Schizosaccharomyces pombe: one gene and its partner. The gene in region 2 interacts genetically with the main gene of each other region. Each region holds a gene or a part of one and is shown on either strand. Other genes may lie near its edges.

Region 1 (7,027 bases), on a different chromosome or scaffold from region 2:
TCCGGGGGTTGGGCAACCTATCGTGTAATTAGCAAATGTAAGTAGCGTATATGTAAAATTAACAAACCTCCACATCCTTTTTTAAGTCACCGGTTGCATTAGATACTGTAGATGTTGTAGCCTGTCCAAAAAGTGACATTCTAATAGTTGTGGTAGTTGGTAAATTACTCGTATGCAGACAAAATTACTTGCTTCAACACACTACCACAAATGCTTTTGCCAACATTTGTACTTCAATCACTTACAGCGAATAAGCTTTGCTATTAGGAATACCCAATTGTTATTAATTAACAGTTGGAAACAAAATATTAGTATTTAATTACGGTCACAACATATCACAGGATTTACGCTCCCGAAGTACTCTTTTCTTAATACAATTGAATATAAAGTATGGATTTATGAAATTCATTAGAAAATGGAAGAATTTACCCTAGATAGAAACAGTAATGTTGGGAATTTAATAGCTCTTGCAGTCCTTAACAAATTTGATGAACTAGCCCGTCATGGCAAACCGATCATAAGAGCAAATGGGGTGCGTGAATGGACTACTTTAGCCGGTGTTGTCATTCAGAAAAAGATGGAGAACGAATTTATTTGTGTTTGTCTAGCGTACGTCTTTTTTATTAATATCGGTAAACTGACATCTAAAGAACAGGTGTAAAATGGTATGCTACCAATTGATTTTTTTCATTAACAAGTCAATTTAGTACGCCAGCTGGCATCATTAAGAATGAACAACTGGGTAGTGTATTACATGATTGTCATGCTGAGATTCTGGCATTAAGATGTTTTAACAGGTAATATATACAATTATTTGTATATTTGTTAGTATTCGTTACTAATAAAAGAATTAAGATTACTTCTCGAACATTGTATTTTAATTAAAGAATCAAAGAAAGATACGTGGCTTCTTGAAGTTGCTGATAATGGTAAATTTACTCTAAACAGCAATCTTCTGATACATCTGTACGTTTCCGAATGTCCTTGCGGAGATGCGAGTATGGAGCTACTAGCTAGCCGCTTGGAAAACAACAAACCATGGAACTTAACAGTTGATTCAGAGAAATTAATGCGTGGGAGGGCGGATTTTGGACTACTTGGAATCGTGCGTACTAAACCGGGGAGACCTGATGCCCCAGTAAGCTGGAGCAAAAGCTGTACTGATAAATTAGCTGCAAAACAATATCTTTCTATTTTGAATTCCCAGACCAGCCTCATTTGTGAGCCCATCTATTTATCATGTGTAGTGCTTTATAAAAAAGTGATAGTTAAATCAGCAATTGACAGAGCATTTGGACCCTTTGGTCGGTGCGCACCACTTGCTGAATTTGGAGAAAAGGATAATCCTTATTACTTTCATCCTTTTACCGTGCTGGAAACGGATGAAAATTTTTTATATTCACGGCCGTTGAACCAAGCAGAAAAAACTGCAACTAGTACAAACGTTTTGATATGGATCGGTGATAAAATGCAGTGTACTCAAGTGATACATAATGGTATTAAAGCGGGAACAAAAGCTAAAGACGTTGAAAAGTCTCAAACATTAATATGTAGAAAGAGTATGATGAATTTGCTGCATCAATTAAGTCAATCGTTGACTAATGAAAAAAACTATTATGAATGGAAGAAACTCAACATCAAACGTTGCCAGCAAAAGCAAATTCTTCGTAATATCTTAAAAAACTGGATCCCAAACGGAGGGAACGAATTTCAATGGATATAAGAAATCTAGAAACCTCAATATAAGATGTACGTATGAATTAAGGCATTAAATAAAACGAAGGATGGCTTTACCAGCGATAATAATTTTATTAACGACTGACTTGTTACATAACAAGTAAGAAATAAAAGAACGTGTTGCGAGGAATTAAAAGTTATTTTTTGCATTTCAAAATAATTCACATATAGAAATCTGTCAGAAAGGAAATGAACGACAACTAGAGTAATTAAAGTATTATAAAAATCATCTCATAACATTATTCCATAACTCGGTTTAAAATGTAAAAAGAAGGATCATCGAATTAAACCATAGTCTGAAAATTGCTTGCTGTGACTTGCAATACGCCTTACTTCGGAAGATGATGGATGAATGTTTTCTGGAGTGTTGGATATGGATACTGGAGTAGGCGGGCCAGTATAGTAATTTGAATTTGGTTTCTGAGCGCTTAAATGCTTTAACGGTGTAGAATTGCTTTTAGAAAGTGATTTTGGCCGAATGCGTCTAGGCGTTTTATGTTGTAAAAGAGATACGCTACGTGTCAATTTACCATGACGAACCCACAGATAATGAGAGGAGGAGCGTGATAGCGTACGAGAAGGGGTGCGTAAAGGAGAGGTATAAGGATCATACATATGTGTTAGATCATCAGAACCGATCGGTCTTGGCGTTGTCAAACCATTCTGATCATATATCGACTTCGTGGGAGATCCCATGGAAAGCCTGCGATTCCCTGAAAGATGTAAGGACGGAGGCTTTCCAGAAGAAAGCGATCTCTGGTTCCATATGGAGGTAACAGGTTCAGAGTTTGGACAATTGTGAAGCTTCGTTTTAGCGACAATGGGAAGATCTTGCAGAGGGGAAAATGTTTGATTAACTTGTACTTTATACATAGCCAATTCAAGACGTAAGCGTAAGTTTTTAGCACAACACTGAATGTCGTCTAAGTGATTATTGTTGGTATTGGTTTGTACTGGTGTCTTGGGTTCTAAATGTGTTTCTTTTTCCTGTTTCTCTCCTATCTCAGTAGAAGATTCTTTTTCCTCTTCACTCTCCGTACTACTAACAGATTTTATTTTTAAGACTGGCTCTTCACATGCATTTTCATCTGCAATTTCTACTGCACGCACATTTCGAGATCGAACCGCAATCGGTGAAATCGTCCCTGGAGCCGCATTCTCTTTTCCTAATGGTCTCTGCATCGGTGTTATAGGAAATAAATGTTGCACATTTTTTCCTTTTCCATACTCATACACTTCGTTTGTTGGCCTTTCCCCCAAAGTGTTTAAACGAGATGGGGTCAATGGTTCCATTGACCTATCCATCTTGTTATTTTTTCTAAACGGAAACCAATATAAAGATTCCTAGTAGCAGAGAATCAGAAGGAAAAGTAATAATCAGAGACAGTTTTTTTGCGACTCGTCGATTGTTGCGTACTTGTGGCACGTATATAAGCGGTGTCCAACGCAACGCGACGCGACGCCCTTTAAAGCGCGAATTCGCGATATAGCGCGTTTTATCAGTTTGCTCATATCCTCGAGTTTATTAATTATATTAACTTTCAAATTTTTTAAATAGCTATCAAAAATGATGCTATAAAAAGTAAACCGCAATTTGCATTATGAAGAGTGATTTACCTGTTATGTTACCGATACACAAACTCGTTCATAACTTTCCTATAGTCATTTTACAAGGTTAAGAAGGCTTTATTCAACGTCCGTTTCAATATCCCTGCAAACGACATTTGAAAATGACAAAATCAATTGGAATAATAAATGGAGTATTTGTGAATTGCACAGGCAGACCTACCGTACACTGAAATATGCTTTTGTTATGTACACAATTACTAAGGCTGATATTTACAGATTAAAAATAAGATACGTTATATCAAGATAACAGTCGGTAGACGATTTAAACGCGCATCTTCTTAATATTAGTTGTGAATAGATACGAGAATGAAATTTTTTTTACACACTAGTATTCGACCATTTTGAAAAATATTTAGTCAATTCATCGCAAAATGTGGATCAAAAAAGGGAATGCAACCACAGAATACACCTTAGACCGCTTTAATGATAAGAATCACTGAATAACCTAGAAACCCGAATGATGCTCAATGGAAAATAAACAAAAAGGGATCTGTAAGATAACACACACCTTTCCACATACGCTTGACAACGAAATTTCATCCAAGACCAATCAAACGCTCCACATCAATAGGCTACTCTCAAGTCACCAGTTCATCTATGCAAGAGCGGGAAAGTCAGTCTCAGAAAGGGTGGGAGGTGCCTGTTGGGTTTTTGAGGCAGTTTCTGAAGGACCACGACGGGGAGCACGGTTAGGACGGCCACCGCGAGCAGGACGAGCAGTAAAAGTTTGCTCGATATCAAGAAGAACCTTCTTTGGCTTGCTTTCCTTGGCAGCAGACTTCTTTTGAGAAGCGCTCTTCTTAAGAGAGGCAAACAATTCTTCGGGGGCACTCTTCTCGACCTTAGTAGCGTTTTCAAGTTTCTCAACAGTACGACCAACAGGCTTTGCGGCGGACTTGCGTTCAGACAGATATTCATCAAGAGTCTTAACATTTTCCTCCTCGGCAGCAGGAGTTTGGGCTCCAGAGGGAGTGTTACCTTCGTTCTCTGCAACATCAGGGTTAGCAGCAGAGTTTACGAGATCACCCCAGCCACGTTCAGTAGCCTTCTTGGTATCACTAAAATAATGGTTAGCAATTATATAATTTGGCATTCACATGTAGAAAAATAAAACACATACACTCTACCAGTTTGGCTATGGCGGTCAAATTCACGACCACGGCGAGCACGAGCATTGCGGCGGTTGGAGGGGGCGCCAGTGGCATCCACAGGATGGGCAGCGTTGTTAGCACGAGCTTCTTTGCCTTCACGAGCAAAGGCTTCGTTTCCTTGAGGAGCTTGACGGCGTCTGCGAGGTTGGTCTGCCTTCTTATTAACGGTACGCTCACGAGGAGTGGGTTGGTTAGGGTCACGCTTCCTAGAGGTGGTGCTTTGAGCGACTAATTCGCGGGGGACAGGAGGGCTGTCGGAGCGCTTTTTGTCACGAGAAGCAGCGGTTTTCTTCTCGGTAGTAGTAGCTGCGGGAGTCTCCTCTCCGAGGAGGTCAAAGAGGTTCTATAATTTGGTTACTACTTGCGAAAACAAAATAAAAATCAGCAGAGTCTGCAGAGCTAACACTCTAAAGAATAATGAACGAAATGTGAATTTATATTTTTTAATACTTGAGCGTCTTTATACAGGCTATACTTCTATAAAGTATTTCATTCGGGTCGCAGTAATGAAACCTTAAACACAGCCCTAAAACATGCTACAAATAATTACCAGTTCGTTCATTTCCTAACCCTTAAAATAATCGTTTAATGATAAAATGTTTAAATCATACCTTGGATGCAACAGACATTTGGAAGCTGGAAAGTTAATTGTGTGTGTTCAGTTACACAACTACAGTCATCCAAAAAGCAGTCACTCAAACTTAGGGTAGGTTGAAACAAATGATGTGCTTTGTCCATCATCTTACGGTAATACCTAAGGCTATCTTAAAATTACAGTTATTCAACACAATGCCTGTCTTTTTTCTATGATATCGGAAGCACTTGGCTTACAATTGTCAATATTCGTTTTATCGAATCATTCATTTCTTTAGCATTAAAATAAGTTTTATTAAGAAATATACTACTGGTAAAAAAAAGCTAGGCAGTCTAAGTAAGAATTAATTACATTATATTTTGAAACAAATAATAAATTAATTCATTCAATGTAAAAAGACTGGTACTAAAATCGTTATAAACTAAATCCAACCAAGTAATAACTTGAGACGATTAACATTAAGCATCAATATCGATTGGGTCATCAGAGGAACCTTTTCCCATTGTTCCATTTGTTTTGCGAGAGGCACGTAGAGATGTACCGGCACCTTCAAACTTAAATAAATTGGGGTCTTTCTTAGAATCTTCTTCAATAGAGGGTGCTTTATAAGGATACCCAAAGAAGTATGTACCCAATGGTAGGATCAACGGAGCAGGACATTCTTGTTTCTCAACATCGAGCAAATTTATTTTAGGCACTTCAGCAACTTCTTTACCATTTAGTTTAGTCCCTGTTCCCTTCATCAAATTCGAATCGCCCTGCCTCACCAGCTCATCGTAACCAATCTTGGTAACCATCGTTCCTTGAACGCCAGCAATATTTTGCTGCTTGTTTTTTTGCAAACTTTCTTCATAACCGATGGGGGGATCAAAATCAACTACCAAATCGGTTTCTACCACTGAGACAACATGGCGGGAGTCATCAGGTTGAACATCTATAACTTTTATTTGATATACCTGGTCGTTATACAAAATCTCAAATATATCAGATTTTGTAAGCGTACTGAAATTCCTAAGCGCATTTTCCAATACCGCTCTGTGGTCCGTGATATCAAGAAAATTCACGCTTTGAGGCTGTAATTTGACATAGCTGCCCTGTGCTATATCAGTATTTATAACTCGAACCAAATCTCCAGGCTCAAGGCTAAGTGTAGTCATCATCTGTGCCCTAGTTAGTACATTTCTGACAGTCTTTAAATTTTTTCATACCCAATAAGGCAGGTAGACACGTCCCTCTTCCGCAATAAATTCTAACACACCCCCATGAGTTTTTTTCTCTGCAGCTTCGTTTTCAAAGTCAAAAAGCATGGGATAACTGACATTCAGGCGTGCTAATAGTTAATTAACAGATTTAAAAGGCTTAATAAATTCTCTTCGCATTACGTACATAGTTTTTCTAAAGCTGAAGGTGGTAATATTACTAGACGTAGTTGTTAATACTAATAATCCCCAATAACAATATAAAAAATATTGAGCAGAGAATGTTAACCATAAGCAAATGCGCAAGCAAGCGCTCAAAGATAAAATCACATGAACTTCATGAGTATATAAAATCAAATCTCCAACAATGTGAAAACTTAAAAGTATTTTCAAACCTTACCTTTCCCACCATAATTGACATTTGGCCGTTCCTCACCAGGAATCATGGCAACAGGATAACAGCGGTAACGAGTATCAAATCGCTGATTTACATTATTATGAAAAGCTGACCGAAGTTGAGACATCATGGAGAAACCATCATCGTCGCTTGAGAAAAAGCTGCCGCCAAACTAATACGTGAGTAAGTCAACGTACGCATTCTCTAAAAAAACCATACCATATTTGCTTTTTTTGCGAAAAAAGGAAAGAGTAACTATGGTTCTCCCAATTTTTTATAATGCAACGTAAATGTTGTAGTGCAAGCAAAATACACTTGA
Region 2 (9,595 bases):
TTGCTGCTGCACTGTCAACACATGCAGAGTCTAGTCCTATGGATGCTACTTCACCTGTTGACTCAATGCCTGAATCTGCAACTGGTATTTAAATTCTTTGTACCTTTACGTTATTATATAAGAAATCAAGGCTCACGTTTCTCCGGCTGGACCGAACATTTAGAGAACATTAATACGGAGCTTGTATGTACAAACAGAGCAGTACCCTAATTTATTCTCCTTTATTTCCTTTATCTCGAGTTTAATACTTTCCTTGGATAAGACTTGCTATTAATGCGGTTTTCTTTCCCCTTATAGATCTACTTCAGCTTCTAAAATTTAAATCCTTCTATTGGCAATCCTCTTTACAAACCGTAACTTCAGTATATGCAAATAAGTGTTTTATTGAAAGAAACAATGGTGAATCAGTGCTGTTTAACTATTCAATCCTTATTTTTTTTCTTTTACCTATGGTTGATCTTATATTAGAGCAATTATATTAAAAACAGTTTAACAATGCTACAACAAGAGAAATGGTTGTGAGAACAGGTTGAACTATTTAAGTTTGATTAAATAAATAGAAAAAAAATGTAACAACGTTAATGTCTAATTTATTGTAACTAGGAATTAGCTTTGTAAAATTCAAAACAGTATAGAATGATTGAATCGATAGGAAATCAGATAATTTTGAGTGCCTTTTATATTTTAAAAGATAGGACCGAAAGATTGAATCGTAAAAAGAAGAATATCGGAAATGCAACATGCAAATTAAATATTGAATAATTTGATTTTTAAAAGAAATGACTAAACAAAAAGAGGATCCACAACTTCAAAAAAACAAAAGAATGATAAAAAAAATGCAAAAAGGAGTGGAATGGAACGAAATCGACAGGTTATAGACGAATAGAAGGAACACAGCTAAATATTGCTGTGTTTGCACCCACTATTAAAACAATTATCGAAAGCACGAATATTGCACGTCTGTTTAAACTTAAGCGAATGGAGGGTTGCAAAACTTTCTCATAATGAAACGGTTTAACTTCTGAGTATCCCAATAAGGCAAGAACAGGATCATGTTTAGACCACGTACATATAAGGTTATAAAAACCAAAAGCAAATGGAAGAAGTGTCCATACCCGCTTTCTCCTTGAGTAGTCTAGGAAAATACCGCAAAAACCTAGCCAGTAGGCAGCAAAGGTAGACACATAACCAATAATAAATCTCCCTGTGCAAGTTAAAGGATTGAGGTTGTGCTTAAATTTGTGGTTGAGAAAGCGATAGTAGGCGGGTTTGAGAAGGAAATTGAGAAGATAAGTTTCGACGTCTTCAAACAGACGCAACTCGTCTTGTCTTTGATGTTCCTTGCAATCTAAAATAGGTTGAACGAGCTGTGGTGGTAGCATAACTTCATGTGGAGATGCTGGATTGAAATATTTTTCGATAATAATTTGAGTAAACATTTTAACTTGCTCTTTACTGATAACCGTTGATTCCTGCGTTAAACTTTGAATATTTGATGTCAAAAGGTTTTTTAAATAAGCAGCTCTATCTTTAGAGAGTAGTAAGTCTGAGGAGTTGATAGTTTGTTCATTGGATAATTCTTCAAGAAGAAGAGGACCAAAATTTGGCCAGTACACTGTACTCAAATCTTCAAGAGAAAGGCTTGCTGACCTAAACCGCGTAAAGTGGTGAGGACCAAGTGTGGAACTGCTTTCTGTATTCAAAGAAGTGCTAGTAACACCAGCTTTGTATAGACCTCTTATATGCTCTCGAAAGAGAAATTTGTGAAGCATAATATCAAGAAACAAATCTAAAAATTCTATTGCATTTTCTTCATCACGTATATAAATGTAAAAGTTGTATAAACTCAACGGTGGAAGATTTTTTTTGGTTAAAACTTCTGAAACTCTCGGGGCGGAAGCCATTCAGACAACCACCTCAAGACAAGTACTAGAGTTCCTAAATTAATCCGATTTTAATGTGTATCAAAAAAAATACAGCGGATTGGTTCCGCTTTAGTTTCAAATGTCAGATGACACAAAGTGGTGGTAACATCTGAAGTTACTAAATTAACATTCTACACTTTACTAAATAAAGGTGATTTGTGGAATGCAATAGAGCATACCATATTACTGTAAAAAATTAATAATAAATTTTATAGAATTATAGATAAACTAGTAAGCTTTACTTGATACCTTATCCTCGATAAACAGATACACCTTTTCTACAAATATTTTTTTTGACAAGCATTGAGCCTCAGTTCAAATGTCACCATATTTGCATTTAATTAGATAAAGAATACTAAGCAGGATTGATTGTGTTCCAAAAGCCAATACACTCAGCGATAACTAATGTAAAGTTAATATGTAAATTTCGAAACTTTGTAGAATGAAAATCAAATAAAATCTTCTGATTAGGAAAAAAGGTTCTGAAATAATTTAATGAACTATTCATTAAAGCAATGGGATTTTCATATTATTTTTGATGGTATATTAAACTTATGTATTTCTGTTAAAATGGACGTAAAAAATCAAACATATTTCCTCATGGCTGTGTATTATTTATTGTTTTCAAAGGTTACTGATTGATATTGAACAATAAAGTGGGTTTAGATTTAGATTGTTTACTTTAATTCTTATATTCATGGCATCAATTCCAATTATTGTTGGCTTAATTTTTTCATTTTCAGGTAATTTTTTTATCTATGAAAATTAACAAGCGCTTTTCATACTTTTGTTGTCAAATCAGAACCAACCCATTTTTGTATTATTTAATTGAAGCGATTTGAATTCATGTTTACTTTTTTGTTGAAATAAAGTAGTGTAATGGAAACTAACAATAATAGTAAATTATTTCTGTTACATACGCTACGTTGTATTTCGTTTTTTACCTTCCACTTGATCGTGATAATCAATAACCGTAAATTCGAAATAATATTACTAGTCCAGTTTTCTATTAAATATTTAACTCGAGTAGACCTCAGCTTTCTATAGCTTACAGCTCGTTTGCTAGCTATACTTAGTGTTACGCCCTTAAAGTTTCATTAGTTTTATTTCCCTTATTAACACAATTAACGGAGCTTGTACGATGTAAAGGTCATATAACGACCTTGAGTAAACTTCGTTGATTTGAAAATATCGTTAGTAAACTTAAGGACAACGCAGCACACATCATTAAAGGACAGCTACGGTAATTATAATAGCGAGTGTAAGTTTGGAGTATGCTGTGTTTCAGTCATTTAAAATTTCTGCGCTTCTCCAACTTCACCAAAACTTCCAATCCGTTTTGGTTTGTAAAAAGTCGCAGAGATGTTTATTCTTACTGGTATGTGAGGAATTTTTTTTATATATCTAACAACATAATAGAGACTGCGGCGGGTTATGCCATTTTTAAAGCAAAGGATAAGTTGTTGAAGAAACGTGATGCCCTTATTGAGGATTTAAAATCTCCTGAGGGAGCTTCAAATCTGTATGTTTGTTGCATGCAACAATTGATTAAATGTATGATGAGAATTAACTTGCTAACACTGAATTTAGCTTAAAACTACAATCATTCGCCAAGTTTGAAAGTACTGTCGATGCTCTCGACAATGTTTCTGCTCTTGTTGAGGGCAAGGTTTCTTCCAAATTATCCTCTCTCCTAGAAGGGTTATCTGACTCAAAGAGCTCCACGCTGGTTGTGGCTGACCCTAAACTCGGCAATGCTATCAACAAATTACCAGGGTTGGAATTTGAAATAATTTCTGACTCTTCCGTTCAAGACTTGTACCGCGGTATAAGAGAGCATTTGTCTTCTCTCATTTCCGGATTGGCTCCTTCTGATCTCAATGCTATGTCTTTGGGTTTATCTCATTCTCTATCTCGTCATAAACTTAAGTTTTCTCCGGATAAAGTTGATACGATGATTGTTCAAGCTATTGCATTACTCGACGATCTCGATAAGGAACTCAATACCTATGCTATGCGTGTTCGTGAGTGGTATGGTTGGCATTTCCCTGAGATGGGCAAGATTATTCAAGATAACCTAGCTTATGCTCGTGTTATTAAAGCCATGGGTATGCGTACCAAATGTAGTGAGACCGATTTTAGTGATATTCTTCCGGAAGAAATTGAGGCAACTTTAAAGAGTGCTGCTGAAATTTCTATGGGTACAGAGATTACGGAAGAAGATTTAGACAACATTGTTATGCTTGCAGATCAAGTCCTTGAGCTTGCTTCTTATCGTGCCCAATTATCTGAATATCTTCGGAACCGTATGCAGGCTATTGCCCCCAACTTGACTGCTCTGGTAGGTGAGTTGGTTGGTGCTCGTCTTATTGCTCATGCTGGTTCTCTGATGAATTTGGCCAAGCAACCGGCTTCTACAATACAAATTTTGGGAGCTGAGAAGGCTTTATTCCGTGCTTTGAAGACAAAGCATAGTACACCTAAATATGGTCTTATTTATCATGCAAGTTTGGTTGGTCAAGCGAATTCTAAAAATAAGGGTAAAATTGCTCGAGTGTTGGCTACGAAAGCTGCTTTATCTTTACGTGTTGATGCATTATCAGACAAGGATACTACTAATGGTAATATTGGTTTGGAAAATCGGATTCGTGTTGAAAACCGTTTACGTTCTTTGGAGGGTGGAAAATTATTACCATTGCCTACAGCTCCTGTCCAACAATCTAAAGTTCAAATTAATGGTACCTCTGCTTACAGTACGGCTACCGATGCTGTTACAAAAGATGCTGAAGAATCTCAAGAGGATGTAGAGATGGACATTGTAATCGAGAAGAAGAAAAAGAAATCTTCAAAGCTCAAAGAAGCAGACGGAGAATCAAGCAAGAAGGAGAAGAAAGAAAAGAAGGATAAGAAGCACAAGAAGAGTAAGAGAAAATCTGAGGAATCCGAAGATGGAGAATCTCCAAAGAAGAAGAAAAAGTCCAAAAAGTCAAAGGATTGAGTAGGTCGTTAGAGCAAATTCCATTAATGTTTTAAAAAGGAATTATCAATTCACTTATTGTTATACAATAATGCTTTCTTTTTTTAAAAAAGGTTGAGCTTGTTTAGAGGATAACGACTCAAGTTCAAAGATTATTTAGGTTCTCGTTATCCATTTTTGTTTTATATTATACTGGAAACTTTCAGAGTTATCATTATTGGCTTTTTAATCTCTAAACTTGGTCAATTTAGTTAAATTATGGCATCAAAAAATTCAAGTTTCAATAGCGTTTTAGATTCAAAAGGTAATTAAGCGACACCACTTTAAAATTGCTTTACACATCTGTTGTAATTTCCGCCAAAAATTTTTGTATGGCATTCATTTGCTTGTGCTATAGTAAAATTGTAAACATATCGTCGTTTTAGATAAATTTATTGATTTGGTTTTCGCAATTGAAATTTTAGTAATGTTGTGCTACCCATTCCTAATTTCCTAAACAAATTTAGATCTTAGTGGTCAAAATTTACTAGTTGCATAAAAATTACATGTAAGGCGTCCGCTACATTGCAAGTCTTACGTTTAGATAAATGATCAATTAAAACATAAAATTACAGGACATAGCTTTTCTATATCATAAACTTCAAAAACACCACTATTTGTTAAATTCCATCCCCTGTTGATATCTTTGCATCAATGCTCGAGCCTGAACTTGAGCTTGTTGTGAATCAAAAAAACGAGATTGCTCATTTTGAATGTTGGGCGTTCCCGAGCGATTTGAGGACCTCGCTAAGTAGTTATCCGTTCGGAACTTTGAGTAGTTATTGTTGGGAGGTCCCATAGAAGTTGCTGAAAATGTTTGAGATAGATTAGGATCGGGTATGTTATGAGAATTGTTTGAAGGAGCACCAGTAAACGAGTTCAATAAGTCTTGTTGGGCCTTCAGACTATTGGCTCCCTGCATTGTAATATAAGAGCCCGAGGAAACAGAATCTGAACGAGTTAATGATGGATTGGCTTTCTCTTCTTGCTGCATAGTCCCTGTATTTCCATGTAAGTCTGTGCCATTTGCATACGAAGACGAATCCCCATTTGAAGGAGGATACGATAGTGTAGATGTCTGAGCGATTTGAAAATATTGCCGGAGTTCTTTGTATAACGGCTCGAGTTGAGGTAGACTTTCAGGACACGAAAGTGGCGGAGTTAAAACTTGCATTTGACGGGGTGAAGCAATTGATACTACAAAAGCTAGATTAGCTTTGAGACGTTGTATATAACTAGTAAATGAATTAGTAACAACGAAAAAAATATAATGTAATAAAAGAGAGACAGTGCGAAGCGCAATTTGAGGAGCCGAAAATGGATACACACAATGAATATCCTTCCGCAGCTAAGTGTGCACGTAAGCAAAACATTTCAATCACTTACCTGTTGAAAAGTTCAGTAGATAAAGCCCGTTGCTCCAATGTCGAATTTTGCGCCGTCTTAATATGCTGAAGTTCTAAGCATTTCCATAAAATCAAACGATTAATTTCTAATAATTTGTTCGCCTTTTCAACTTCCATTGGATTAACCTGTCCGGTTGGGCTCGCGGAGTTTACTATCGGTGGACTTTTCGAAACAAAGCTCATTATTACAAACGTAGTTAACTTAAAAAGGAGATATAACTTAAATAACCAGTTTTTTTAAAAAATTTGTTGTAACTTCTTGTGTTTAAAACCCATTAACTAGGAGTAATGGTAATATATATATATATTTTTTTACAAATGCGAATTTTAGAGTCTCTGATGAATACTGTCGTTAAAAAGTATAAAACAACCTTTAAATGCTATATGGTAATAAACGTGAATGTAACAACACTATAACAATTCAATAGCGACTATATTCCAATAATGACAAGTCAGGTGTATAGTTTAAGCACCTCTAACCTCGGGCAAATAAATTTCTTATTTTACGGAACATTCAAATTCGACTGAATAAGATTGTTGATAACTTTTCAAATATATGCAATAGAATAAATAAATAATAATTATTTAGAGACTAAAGCTGATTTGCACGCTTCATTAACAGAGATAATATTTATACAATTCAATAACAACACTATTAGCGTATAAAAAATAAGTAAATTTAGATTTTTCTATAAATTTGCAATTATATAGACTATTGATAACGTAAAATAAATTATCCCATTTGCTTAATTAAGTAAAATGGTATTTTTTTAATTGAGGTACATCAAAAGAATGTGTTTGAATAATTATGGTTTCGTCCAAAATTCAGTATCTAGTTATGAGGTGAAATGACAAAGTAATTTTGAAATTCGATTAAGGTGAAGATAGATTGAGTTGAATAAGTCATTTTGGGCCAATCGTAAATTTCAAAATGAATACTTTGCATTTTAAAGATAAAAACCAGGGGTATTGAAAAATATTGTTAAGCTAAAATGAGGATTTAAAGCAATAGAAGTCTAAACACGTTCATAGAATAGCATATACGCTTCGACTTTTGAAACCTCGTCCCAGGATGATTCGCGTACAATATTGTCACTAATGTAAAGCCATCGTCTCTCGGGTATGCCAGCTTCAGAACGGAAATCCTTAGAATTCGTAGAAGGGGCACTGAGGTCTAAGAATTTATGAGACAATACGTAAGCAACATAATGACCATAATTCAGGGTGCCACTGTGCACAATGACCCCGAAAAGTCGATATCTAAAACTACTTGAAGCACGTAGGTGTGGCATAACGAACTCGTTTAAATCTAATTCTTGTTCAAACTCAATGAAATCGGAAATTTTTTTGGGATTGGCGTAACCATCGTGGGAAATCTCCTGGAAAAAACGCTTCAAATGGATAATAAAAACAGGAGGTAAAGGGTCATCTAATAACATCCGCTTGTAAGCATTTCTATAAACACTGTTATTAAACGAATATTTATCGTTATCCGACGTCAATCCTCCCTTAGCTGGAGAGCCAACTTCGTTAGGTTGATTACAGCAATTCTCGCAGGCAAACATGTTTTCACCACTTAACTCCTCAACATGAGTAAAGTTTTTGAGACAATCAATAAGTGTCTTAGGCTCCTCTATTATTGGGCTTGATAGTGAAGATTCTGAGAAAATTGAATTACTATTATCAAAATCTTGTTTCGAAATTTGCCCGCTAGAATTGACAGAGAGATCACTTAATCTTCGAGTCAGTTTTTGAAATGGAGACTGTTTCAAACTCTTGTCATTTTCACTAGCATGCCCACCAAGTAAATTTTCATTTAACGAAGAGGAATTAGTAGTCGGGGCTTGATCAGTGTCGTCGTTAGCATTGTCAACAACTATCTTTACAGACGATTTTTTTGGTGAACGACTAAATCGTGAACGGAGAGCACGATGGAATCGATGACGACGACTTACGCGGCTAGACGGGTAATGAATAGGTATGGATAAATCTTGAATAGGTTCAGGAGTGTTAGTAATTTCATTACAACTTTGGCACATCACAACGCTCGTTAAACGGCCTGTAAAAATTGACTTGATCACCAGGCTTGAAGAAAATTCATCCATAGTAGCTTTATCAAGCATCATATCATCTGAAGAAAGTTCACCAAGCCGTAGTATGTCTAGTGAACGCCTTTGAAATTGAGGAGATTTTAAAACTTCTTTTTTAGGACTAGCCTCCTCATGATTAGAACTATTAGATACATTGAAATGAGAATTAGGATCTTCAAAAGAATTGGTACCAGCGACCTCATGTTGACCCTTAAAAACTTGTTGTCCCTTGTCTGAACTGGAATCGAGAAGTTCTGACGATGGAAGGGATTTTGTAGACGAGGCCGCTAATGGCGATGAATTAGCAGGCAAGAAACTGTCATGCTGATGCTGTGAAGAGTCAGATGATTGCGACAACTCCTTCGAATAAGTAATATCTTCGGTCTCAGAACCCACTAATGAAGAAACGCTAACATAATCTTCGTTGTTCTGCTCGTTATCACTTGTATTGTGTGAATTTGGCGACAAAGAAGCATCTGTAACATTCACTTGTTTAAACGAAGTTAACGATTTAGAAAGCTGTTCATCATCTGTCAAACATGGACTAAGTTGAAGAGAACGTGATACACTATTAAGGTTAAATCTCAGTACACGAAATTCTTCAGAAATGAGATCGTCCAATAACAGCCTTAAAAGCTCGTGAGCATCCTGCTGGACGCTTTCGGAAAACTGGGGATGTAGTCTTCGAAATTCTCCGAAAAAAGTGGTAGGACGATATACGGAGATAGTGCCATCTGATTTATAAAAGGTCTCCAAAAATTTAATGAATGCAGATAAAAGAGAAGATTCAGGAGATTTCGTTAACTTTCGCACTATAACTGAGGAGTGGGAATATTGGAACGGGCTAATCACATCGTGTAAAGCCTCACAAGCACATAGGACTTGTAAAGTCGAATTAAAAAAGCATGTGGCACCCAAATTTTTTAAACCAGGACTGATAACTTTATATTTCTTCGAGCTTTTGCCAGAAGAATGCTTACTCTTTTTTTCCTTTTTAAAGTGTGACGAATTGGATTTTAAAACGTTGGGGGCCTTAGTTAACGATGAAACCAAGTTAGAGCAAATAAATTGTTGAACGTCCCGCACAACTAAATTCTTTTTATCAAAAATAACTATATCTGCATCACAACTGTAACAGTGACATTTCAAGGTTATAAT

Evidence for each region.
Region 1: mutations in SPOM_SPAC23G3.05C (region 2) and nrm1 together harm fitness less than expected from each alone (positive genetic interaction), as found in Schizosaccharomyces pombe (one large-scale study listed by BioGRID).

Annotation. Positions count from the first base shown.
Region 1 is NC_003423.3:4,282,057-4,289,083, reverse strand, and holds nrm1 (protein nrm1), read right to left. Parts: upstream 3,141-7,027; 5' UTR 3,043-3,140; coding exon 2,014-3,042; 3' UTR 1,724-2,013; coding exon of another isoform or gene 856-1,723; 3' UTR 798-855; coding exon of another isoform or gene 708-797; 3' UTR 666-707; coding exon of another isoform or gene 651-665; 3' UTR 610-650; downstream 1-609. Other genes in the region: nucleoporin Rae1, read right to left, coding at 1-17, 68-139; tad1 (tRNA specific adenosine deaminase), read left to right, coding at 416-609, 651-665, 708-797, 856-1,723; oga1 (protein stm1), read right to left, coding at 3,962-4,424, 4,487-4,860, 5,129-5,146; Hrd1 ubiquitin ligase complex subunit Ufd1, read right to left, coding at 5,571-6,272, 6,321-6,442, 6,499-6,531, 6,712-6,880, 6,928-6,930. UniProt on the Schizosaccharomyces pombe protein: Negative regulatory component of the MBF complex involved in cell-cycle-dependent transcription.
Region 2 is NC_003424.3:873,660-883,254, forward strand, and holds SPOM_SPAC23G3.05C (RGS domain-containing family protein), read right to left. Parts: upstream 2,031-9,595; 5' UTR 1,905-2,030; coding exon 873-1,904; 3' UTR 501-872; downstream 1-500. Other genes in the region: Ino80 complex subunit Ies4, read left to right, coding at 1-92; U3 snoRNP protein Nop58, read left to right, coding at 3,288-3,303, 3,345-3,447, 3,516-4,923; SWI/SNF complex subunit Snf30, read right to left, coding at 5,555-6,176, 6,328-6,530; ubiquitin hydrolase Ubp7, read right to left, coding at 7,364-9,595. UniProt on the Schizosaccharomyces pombe protein: May be involved in cell polarization and division.